Xenopus tropicalis: one gene and its partners. The protein of the gene in region 3 interacts with the protein of the main gene of each other region in a biochemical or structural test. Links are inferred from orthologs where the notes say so. Each region holds a gene or a part of one and is shown on either strand. Other genes may lie near its edges.

What was found.
Region 1: the proteins of runx1 (region 3) and dtx2 form a complex in vitro, tested with the Homo sapiens proteins (2 studies listed by BioGRID, with this or other methods). The link is inferred for Xenopus tropicalis from reciprocal best matches to the Homo sapiens genes RUNX1 and DTX2.
Region 2: the proteins of runx1 (region 3) and elf2 form a complex in vitro, tested with the Homo sapiens proteins (2 studies listed by BioGRID and IntAct). The link is inferred for Xenopus tropicalis from reciprocal best matches to the Homo sapiens genes RUNX1 and ELF2.

What each region holds. Positions count from the first base shown.
Region 1 is NC_030678.2:94,417,198-94,420,855, forward strand, and holds part of dtx2 (probable E3 ubiquitin-protein ligase DTX2), read left to right. Parts: intron 1-2,134; coding exon 2,135-2,711; intron 2,712-3,658. UniProt on the Homo sapiens protein: Regulator of Notch signaling, a signaling pathway involved in cell-cell communications that regulates a broad spectrum of cell-fate determinations.
Region 2 is NC_030677.2:61,147,904-61,151,561, forward strand, and holds part of elf2 (ETS-related transcription factor Elf-2), read right to left. Parts: intron 3,272-3,658; coding exon 2,942-3,271; intron 1,777-2,941; coding exon 1,149-1,776; 3' UTR 1-1,148. UniProt on the Homo sapiens protein: Isoform 1 transcriptionally activates the LYN and BLK promoters and acts synergistically with RUNX1 to transactivate the BLK promoter. Isoform 2 may function in repression of RUNX1-mediated transactivation.
Region 3 is NC_030678.2:13,968,958-13,972,430, reverse strand, and holds the end of runx1 (runt-related transcription factor 1), read right to left. Parts: intron 1,985-3,473; coding exon 1,488-1,984; 3' UTR 593-1,487; downstream 1-592.

The DNA of each region.
Region 1 (3,658 bases), about 80 Mb from region 3:
GATCATACAAGCATAATTAAATGTATGTATGCATGTCTATTAGTATATTCCTTTGTGTGGATTAAAGATATAAGACTTTCATGCAAGCTACATAAACCAACCTCTGCAGTCTGACAAGTTGTTTTCATTCTGCAAGGTTTGACTCATCTAAAATGACTCTTTTTGGGTGATTTTTGTCTGTTTTATGTCCCTGCTATTTTTCTTAAGGAGGCAACACGGCACTACTGTATAGTGCCATAGCCTGCCAAGCTGGCTCAGAGGAAAACAATTCTTGAAAGAAAACAGAATGAGTGTCATATCATAGAAATAAGGAACTTTCCAAATATAATAAATTACAAATTCTGTACGGTTTCAAAAATAAAGCTGTTACTCTTCACTATTCCCTTCTTCGTAATCACCCTTCATGCAGGGATCAGATTTTGATTGACAGGTCAAATACATTGTTGTGTGCTCCATTTGCTTGTGTTTTTAAATCTGACTTTCAAAATAACCAACCCTCACTGCATGTATGTTGAGAGATTGGGATAGTAGCCAGTAAAATAGAGGGGCATAGTTTCTACTACACAGGGGAAGGGCTTTGTCTTTGTTTTCATAATATTCATAGTCCAATCCAAAAGCATAGGATTGCCTTTGCTGGATGGGAAACACTTAGGGTGAAGACACACGGAGCTACTTAGTAGCAGCTACTTGTCACAGCTACTAAATGCTAGAAAATCCCCTGCCCATAGTGAGAATTGCCTCTGCTAAAACACACATCGAGACAGTTATCAGTAAATTATCAGCATTGTCTCTTTTAGTAGCCACGACAAGTAGCTGCTGCTAGTAGCTCCATGTGTCTTCACCCTTATGGCAATTACTAGCACAGTCAGACTAGCATTGTTTGCTTCACTATTTCAAGATATCCCTGTTTGACAGTCACCAGCATCTGCTTAAAGTTTGGTCATAAATATGCCAATATAATTGTTGTATGCTTTTTGGTGTGTATATGTTGCAATTTTGACAGATATCCATGTATTATAGATATTGATCCATTATAGATATTGGTCCATTAGAATATCAAACAAGCTTAACACTTTTATTCTGCTGATGAGCCATATGACAGGGTCCTGGATGTAATAGGCTAGGTTAGGGTAAGAACATCAATATTCCCAGTTTGTTAGGCATGTGATAATCTCCCGGTAAGCCAAAAATGCTTACCTTCTGTCTGGTCCAGTGTTACTCTTCTATTAAAAAGCAATGGCAGGTTAGGTTTGGCATGGATTGACAAATTGTCAAAACTAGCATCGCTAGTGTTAGGCATCTTTCAGTGACTAAAAAAAATGCTAGCCTTCTGTCTAGGCCGCTGTACACACATTGTTACATCACTGGCCAATTTTTTGGGCATCCCCCCCCAAAACAGCAATTGCGCAAAAGTGAACACAGTTGTATGCATTGATGCCATTAAATAAAGAAACTTGTGCCCAAATGCACTTTTTTTAAAATTTTCCTAAAGCTGAATTTGGCTCACGTGCTTCCATCCCATCTCCTGTTGTAAATTGTAAGCACTGGCACTGGGGAAACCTGGAAATATTGCCACCTACAATCTAGAGGTAATGCCTGGGTTCCCACTGTGGGCCGGAATAGTGCTTTTGTACCAAGATGAAAAACTAGCACAGTAAACCCAATGCTATTTTCAGTTTAAAACTCCAAAACTGTTTAGCTCGCGCACAATTTAAGCTCAAATTCTTTCGAATGGTAAACTGCGTTGCGCAAATCTGTAACGCTGCATAATTTCGAAAAGTTAAGGCTGCAAATGATGTTCCTTGGAATATGCAGTAATAGCCCTAAAGTGACAAATCTAGACTCCAAAATGTTTAGCACAATAGTCCGAATGGGCTTTACTAGCATTGGTGCAATGGTCTGATTCATGACGCAGTTTGTGAATTCGAAACAAGCTGAAGAATAGTGTCTGAAATAGCACTTTGCACACTGCACTTGTGGTGGTACATGAAAAAATCCCTAAAATGTAAAGCTTGTGGCATAAATCTTCATAACTGTTATTTGCTGGATTAAAATGCACACTGCAATTTCAACCTATTTATGTAAGCAGGTGCTGTCGTCTTTTGTTAAATAATTTTCTCTATTTGTTTACAAGGAACCATGCGAAGTGTGAGGAAATCACTTTATGCATCAGATTCTGCACCAGCCAAAGGAATTTCTTGGGAATGGATGAATGATGAAGCATGTTGGACTGCTTATGAAATGCCAATTACCATATACTTAGATGAAAATTACTGCAATAGAAGACCATTGGTGGATCTTGGAGCATTTGGACTCCCCTACCAGGCTGACTTAAACTCTGGCATTCAGATAAATAAAATGACAGGTTTTAGAAGACAAATTCAGAGAAGAGCTGACATTCCTTATCCGTTAACATCAGCAATGGGACCTGTTCATAAATCTGCAGCATGTCTTTGTCACCAGTGCCTAGCCAACAGTGCAGCGGGTCCTATATCTGGACGTCACCGACACTCCATGATAAACTTGCCCACCTCCTCTGGTAGCCAGCTTTCTAGGACTTCATTTGCATCATCCTTTAATGTTGGTTATGTACCCTATCCAAAGCCATCAATGGCCATTTCAAAGTCCACACCAAAACTTAATAGCACTTGGTTAATCTCTCCAGTCCCTCTACAGTTTCCAGGACCATCATCATCATCTAATGGAACCAGGTAAGTGAAAAGCCCTTCCAGCAATGGTGCAGCATGCTAATGCACTTATATGGGTATGATAGCATTAATGCTGAATGTCTGCATAGCACATTCAATTGAAACTTTCTTTTTTTCTGGAAAATTGTAATACTATAATAATCCTATGCTTACAAACAGTACATTATAGTCGTAACTTACACTATACACTGGATGAGTTTTTTTTTATTTTTCTTGATAGCACATTGTGTATAATCTCTTCCAGCAACTTGCATTTTGCCTATTAAATAAAGTTAAACTATTTCCCTCAGAAAGATGTCTTATATTGATGCTCTTGCCTTGAGTATGTGTTTTGCTTCTGGTCTTGCCCTACTTCTTACACTTTACCATGTGTCACATTTTTACCAGCTTAAAGCTGGCCATACACGCAACGATAATATAGGAAGAAACCTCGTTTCTTTCCTCACTTTTCCTCTCACCTCTTCCCTTTTTGACTCACCTATACTTTTTCTAACCATTCTGCTTTTTACTCTTTCCACTTTCCACTTACCCTCACTTCTTCTCTGCTTTTCTTTCCTCCTTTCCTTTTTTTTCTTACCATACCTACATTCCCACATTCACATTTTATGTGCTGTCCATTTTATATCTATGACCTCCATCTCTCCACTAGCTGCATTTTACTCATTTGATTTTTATTTGAATGCAGTTTATTTTTTCTTTCCTTCTTGTTACCTTCCACACACACCCTCTTTTTCTTACACATTTCATCTGTTATTTTTTTTTATTGGTTGATTAAAAGTTTTCAAATAAACATGAAAGCCAAACAGTTTTGGTTTTGTTAAACATCCATACCTTTTCTAAACTTATCCAAATATATCAGCTGTCAGTCATAATGTACTATCCTATCTTTCCCAGGTGGGCTTGCTTTTGTAGCTTACAGTAAAAATTATAGTATTTCTAACAATAAAGGC
Region 2 (3,658 bases), on a different chromosome or scaffold from region 3:
TCTACTCGAATACACTTTGAAACAAGAGTACAACAAAATAGAATATACTTCAAATGTTGAATATACAAACTATTTTAGTTCATTCTGAACACTGGTATTTACCCCCCATGCCCTCCCCTAAGCAACCCACCTTCATAACTTCAACTAAAAAAATAGCAGGCTTCAAACTCTATAACCCAAAAATGGACACATGCTTCATGGTGACCTTTCAAATGGATAGCATAAAAACTGAAATGTTTGCAAGGGATTCTGGCAAAAAAAACAACAACAAAAAAAGCATGTTACATTTAAAGGCTCCTCTGACCTGCCGTCTCCGCCATGAGACAGTTTGTACCCTCCCGTGAAAAGCTTTCTGCTCGAGATGCTTCAGGCCTTCCCAAAACACTCAGAGATATAACAAAAATGAACAAAAAAAAAAATCATACTTTTAACTACTGTATAAAATAGGTTACGTGTAATTCTATACCAATACTGTGCTAGGTACAATGGGTTTTTTTTTTCTCTTTTTACATTTTTTTTTAATATGTATAAAAATTGCTTTACATAAACAAGCTGTTAGCTTATTTTACAGAAAATAAAACTAAAAACGAGTCTAAGGCTTTAATATGAAATCTGCATCTGTCATCCCCTTGCGGAACTCAGTGGGCGTTATTTCCCTGCGTGCGCGTTGGTACAGTTTATTTAGCCTACAATACTTATTGAGCAGTTTCTCCCGCATAGCACCGATGAAGTGAGAGCTGTCTGCACACACAGCAGTACACATTTCTTTACCATTTACATTTACTGTGGTTCTGGGATAACAACCTCCTGCGATGTCATTTAGTGTTCCTCTTTATTTTTAGTGTAACAAAAAAAACCTGAAAAACGAAAACAATAGATCTGAACAATCACTTTGGTCCCTTTCAGTTTGCTTTTTCTTCCGATGCCTTAGGAACATTTCATAACATGAACAGATCCCACTGAAAACATGGGAACAGAATTCATTTCCAGTCAAGTTTTTCTTTTGTAATTTGCGTATATTTATATTGTCTTTGTTTAAAGTCTCCGCAGACTTCCTCACTTCTTTCTGTCCAGAAGTTTCGTTTAATCAGCGTTTGATTCTTAAATGTCAGTTTAACACAAAATTCTAGAGACGCAGGCAGGCTTTGTCACTTTTCACACACCACACTTGTCTCTTGTTTGACAGTAATGGGGAGGTTGATTGCGGAAGGGGTGCTGACAACAACCACATGGGTAACTGTTTTGCCCCCATCTGCAGGTTTATCGTCTTTAATTAACTGAAATGTTTTTATCTCTCCCTCCTGTCTGCTCACTACCATGTCTGATTTAATTTCAGGTCCTTTGATAAGGGTGCTAATGACCCTAGGGGGAGTCTGACATCTGGCTTGCTGTGCTGGCATTGCCAGTCTCATAACTGGAGTTCCATGAGCTATTGAAACAGGGGTAAGTGCTCTCACAGTCAGTGGTGTTCCCACAAGATTTAAACTCCCTGACCCACTTAATCCAGGCTTTGTCTGCAACTGACACTGGGTGAGTTGGGAAGTTGGAATAGTGATTATTTTGGCAGGTTGCACAGTGAATTTGTCTCCACTTTCAGACGATGCTGGTAACATTGTAGGGATTGTCTGGATGACAACCTTTGGAGCTGATGCTGTTGTTGGGCTGCTGTTTGCAATCAGAGGAGAACCTGGATTCACCGACTGAACAGCCAAAGTAGAAATCTTCTGCCCCAAAGATGTCATTACTACAGGCACTTGCATGGCCACCCGGACAGTTCTACAAAATAAATAGAAAAGAAAAAAAAAAAAGTTATGTATTAACCTTGCTGGTGTTTTAACTAATTCTAAAGCGGACAACCTATGATAAAATGCGTAAAAGTAAATTTAGGTTTTAGGAAGGTAATGCAGAATTGTGAAGCAACAACTTTGGGATATATGTATTCTGCAGTGCAAAGTCAGTTGGATGTTTTTGTTTGGATACGCTCTTCACCCATGGTTTAAATAAGGATTTAGAATTCCATCGGTTTATTTATGTGCTTATGTTGGATCATTATCTGGGCACATTAGACTCCAGCTTTACACAACTATAAGAATTGAGTCTTTATGTAGGAACGGACGGTACAACAAAAGTGGAACAAAGGGCATCTGCCTTTAGTGATTGTTCAGTGCAATTTGGATGTATTTTTCTTTTAGTGATAGATACTAGGAGGTTTCCCCATGACTGCAAATGCAGCCCCAAGTTAACTGGAGACTCAGCTTTACACATTTAAAATAGGAACATTGTTTCTTTAACGTGATGAGTTCAGTATGGAGTACATATACTGAAAGTTTTATACAAGAAATGTAAAATGTTTTTACATGACTATAATTTAATGTAATGCATTTTCACTTGAAGTATATTACTGCTATATGTCAACAGGTCTAACAAAAAAAAAAAAAAAATGGGTGAGTGCAGAGGATCTCTTGACTTTATTCCATCCCCATCTAAAGGTTGAAAATTTACTGGTGAGCATAACTTTCCCCCTTTTTTGCTATGGTTTATACAGAAGCAGTGGCCAGCTCCATGCTGTAGCTCCCACCCATCCCAGCTACAGTCAGGTGATGCCAGTGGTGGCCAATAAAAGGACAACCATTGTGAATGAAGTTTTAACCTTAAAAAGCAAATTGCATGTAAAACTCACTGTGAAAAATGTATAATGAAGCAGTAGAATTCTTATTGAATCAGACGAGACAAAACATATGGTCAAAAATCTGTTAAGGGGGGGGCATGTTATAGCCGCTTATTGCACAAAATTGCATGTGTGTGTGTATATATATCTTGTCTTTGTCAACAGAAGATAGAGATATAGATAAATGGATATGATAGATAATTGATATATGATCTGTGTTAAGATTTATATGCACTTTTAAGTGAAAACAAAATGTGGAAGACACCAACTGACCTCTGTGGTGCTGTTGGCGTGGTGCTGGTGGGTGAGTGAGGTGATACCTCACTGACAGGAGAGGACAAGCTAACCAGTCTTGGCTTCCTATTAGAACTCTGCTGGGTTGGGCTCTTCTCTAGCCTAGCCGGCATTGCCATTTTCATGATTCCTTCGGTGGGGATGGAGACTCTCTCCAATGATTTGTCATCTATGGGAGACACCATCTCTTCACTACAGGGCTCTGCTTTGTCATCTTCTATAACCACAATGTTCTTGGGCATCTCTTTGAATTGGTAGACCAACCTCTGACCCTCAACTTTTGCAAGGATCCCTCTCTGGTAGTAGTACCTGCATAGATAAAACAATGTCAGTATCAGTGAGGCCAATGTTAACATTAATATAAGCTTAGCAGCTTGCAAGTCTCAAATTACGGTGAAACACAACTTTTTTAAAGCATAACTATTCAAAACACATTTCTTTTCATGAGTATGATTGCACAGGCATTAGATCTTTTGCTCAGAATGTATGGGACCTGGGATTTCCAGATTAGGGTTCTTTCTAGAATTTGGATCCCCATAATTTAAATAAAAATGAAATAAAATATAAACCCAGAAGGACTGTTTTGCCAACAACATGATTTGATGCAATATAGTTACCATGTAGTATAAGGTACTGTTTATTACAAAAAAAAAAAAAATGAAATAATTTAATCAATTTAAATTATATACTTAAAAT
Region 3 (3,473 bases):
TTCTAGTTTGCAATATATTAGCAGTATTTGAAACTACAGCGCCATCTGCTGTTCTCTTTGGTCAACTTCAGTTGGTTGAAAACTAAAGGTGGCCATACACAGGCTGATTGTAGCTGCCGATATCAGTCCCTTAGACCAATTCGGCTGCTTATCGGCCCGTGTAGGGGCAGAAATGACGGCAATGCCCAACCGATATCTGGCCTGAAATCAGCCAGATATCGATTGGCAGGTTAAAAAATTTAGTCGGATCGGGGACCGCATCAGCACGTTGATGCAGTCCCCGAACAGATTGCGCCTATTCCGCGTTCTAATTCAATCATTTGGCCCCAGGGCCAAACGAATTAGCATGAATTCACCCGATATCGCCCACCCAAAGGGGGGGATATTGGGAGAAGATCTGCTCGCTTGGCGACCTCGCCAAGTGAGCAGATCTTAACGTCTATGGGCACCTTAACTTTGTGAGAAAAGGATAGTCCTGTGATATCTGTTGGCTTATAAATAACCAGATAACTATCAGATGCCTCTTCTCTGCTCACTAACTTCATTTTCTGAGCAGAGACTTTCCTCTTCTCCCAAAATTCATTTTTTGAAGTTAACAAAAATAAACAGTAGGCGGCACTGTTGTTTCAAAGTGTAAAAAGTGCTAATATATCGAAAACAACAAAACAAAAGCAGTTCTTTTGAGCACTGAGAGGGCAAAATGAGCATCATATCAAGTTCTTTTGAGCAGATCAGATCTATCAACCTTGTCCAATCAATTTGGGGAAAAAGAAATTGCATTTAAATAAAAGTCATTCATTCCGATATAAAATAAACATGTAAACAATAACCTTGTATCGTTTGGAGCGTACAAGTTTCAGCGGATACGGACACCCTGAATTTCTCATCAACGTATAAATACAACGCACACTTTTGGCGGCGGGGACCCGGCGGGCCACTGAGCGGCGCCACTGAGCGCAGGAAATCTTACAATAAAAATATACAAAAGTTTAGGTAAAAAAATGGAAAAATGATAAATGGAAGCTAAAAATGCAAAAAGCAAAAACAAACCGTAAGGTGCCTATTAACAGGGCTGCAAATGTTGAAATTTCAGAGCAGGGTCATTTTTTTTTTAAACTTTTTTTTTCCTTTTTTTTGTTCATAGGGACTGACATTATATTACATAGGCCGTAACAAGCCGCAAAGCCCAGTCTTTCTAACGTTCCAATAATTTAGCGTATGGTTCTGGTTCAGAAAAAACCCCCACATATATTTTAAATCTGGGTTAAAATAATTTAAAAAAAAAAAATTGTAATCCAAAATATGTTGAAAATAGTAAATCCCTAGGAGGAACAGCCAGTGGCCTGTCTGCGTATTCTCTCCATGTCTCCTCTGATCTTTGCCTTTTCACAGCGTCGCTAAACCAGAGGATTTCACAGTTTTTCCACCTCGCCAATATCTCGTCCATCTGACGTGTCCTCCATTTGTTCCATGTCTGTAGCAACATCTCAATATGGCCGCCATACAGCTTCCTCAAGCCTTGGGGTGGTTCCCATGTTGGTAGGAGAGTTGCTATGGCTTCCTTCAGCCTCCACAACATCGTTTTGGTTTGGAAGGTTAGGGTTCAAGAGAGTGGACCCCGTGGAAGCGTTTGTGCAAGGTGGGAGGATGCGAGGCGGGGATCGGTCTCCTCCCGACATCATCGAGAACTGGTGGTAGGATCCGGCCGATGTTCCGTAATAGAGATGGTAGGATGGGGAACTGGTCTGAAATGGGCTGCTTTGTGCCTGGGATGATCCAGGATATGGAGGGGGTAGGTAGGTGTGATACCTGGTGGCGGAGGTCATGGCTGACATACCGATTCCTATACCTGAAGTGACCGGGGTTGGAGTGTAGGTAAAAGCCCCTGGGTAGTGCATACGGGGGTCCGAGATGGATGGAAGAGTGGAGAACTGACGGTCAATGCCGACTCGAGGATCACTGAAAGCAGTAAGGTCTGAGGCTCCTGAGAAGAAGGAAAATAATGAACACTGTAAATATCTAAAATAATGTCATTTTCTGCACAAACACAACTATTGGTGGTAGAACTATAGAAACAAATACAATATGGCAGCACACATGTCACAAGGTGTATGGAAACTAGCTGGGAAATGTACCTTGTGACCCAGACCAACTTTCCTTAGCAGAGAGAAAGATGGCCCTGTGTGGAAGTGGTATGATCCACACCACTTCCTGGTTGCCCCTGGTTATGGTTATGTGTGAGTTTGGGGGGGGCAAGCTTTATCCTGCACAAAACAAAAGCTTTTCATTGCTCCATTTGCTTTCAATAACAGTCTCAGTAACTCAGTCAGAACTGAATTCATCTGCAGTTGAAGACACTTTTCCGGGGCCCCATGTCCCATGTACAAACACTTCAAAGCAGACATTTTCCCTTTGAGGAAACATCAGTTTTCTTTGTGAATCAGGTCCCAACTCGCCTGCAGACAAACAGTGCGGCACATAATTGCCAGAGCTGGATTTGCTTCTTTGTTGGGGATAAGATCAGCCATTTCTCATTGTCTTGTCTCTATCTTAAATATGGAATTTAGGCCTTAGCGTTTGATCATACTGTTACATTCTGGGGTCTGTGGACTGATGAAATGATTGCATCTAAAGGGGAACTTATCATCTGTCATCCTGATATCCCAACAGTGCACCCTGACCCAATGTTTCCTGGATATGGCCAAATGAGTGTTATAGTCTGACCGCTGGACCAGAACAGAGAAATAAGGATGTGGTGAGGTTTAGGGTACCCGTCAGTAACAATGGCAGCAAAACTACAGAACTCTGCTACTGGAGCTGAGAGGGACAATCTTATGTAGAGTCCTGGCTGAGGAGCCCCTCTGTGCAGATAGGTTTAAAGACCGAGTTTAGAGCCAAACTTGGCTAATGGAGCAAAACCTGTAAAATGATCACAGAACCTTTCATGGGTGATGGAACCACTCTGGAGTTAGACTAATGCAGCCAAAACAGATGGTGAAAGAGACCAGTCTAGACGTAAATGTAGGCTAATAGAGCCAGTCTAAAGCTGAAGCTAATAAAGCCAGGGCAGAGCTGGAGCTCATGAAGCAAATGTAGAGCTGGTGCATGTGGAGCCAACTGAAAACTAAAGCTAATGGAGCCAGAATAGAGCTGGAGCTAACAGAGTAAGTGTATGGGTGAAGCTAATGGAGACAGTGTAGAGCTGAAGCTAATGGAGCCAGCAGAGAACTAGAGCTAATGGAGTCAGAATAGATCTGGAGCTAGTCTAGAGCTGGAAATAATAAGTCAGTGAAGAGCCGGTGCATATAGAACCAGCTAAGAACTAGAGCTAATTGAGCCAATGTAGAGCTAGAGGTAATGGAGCCAGTCTAGAGCTGGAGCTAATGGAGCTGATCAGGAGATAACGGAGCCAATCTAAAGCTTAAGTTAATGGAGCCAGTGTAGAGCTGGAGCTAATGGAGCCAGTCTAGAGC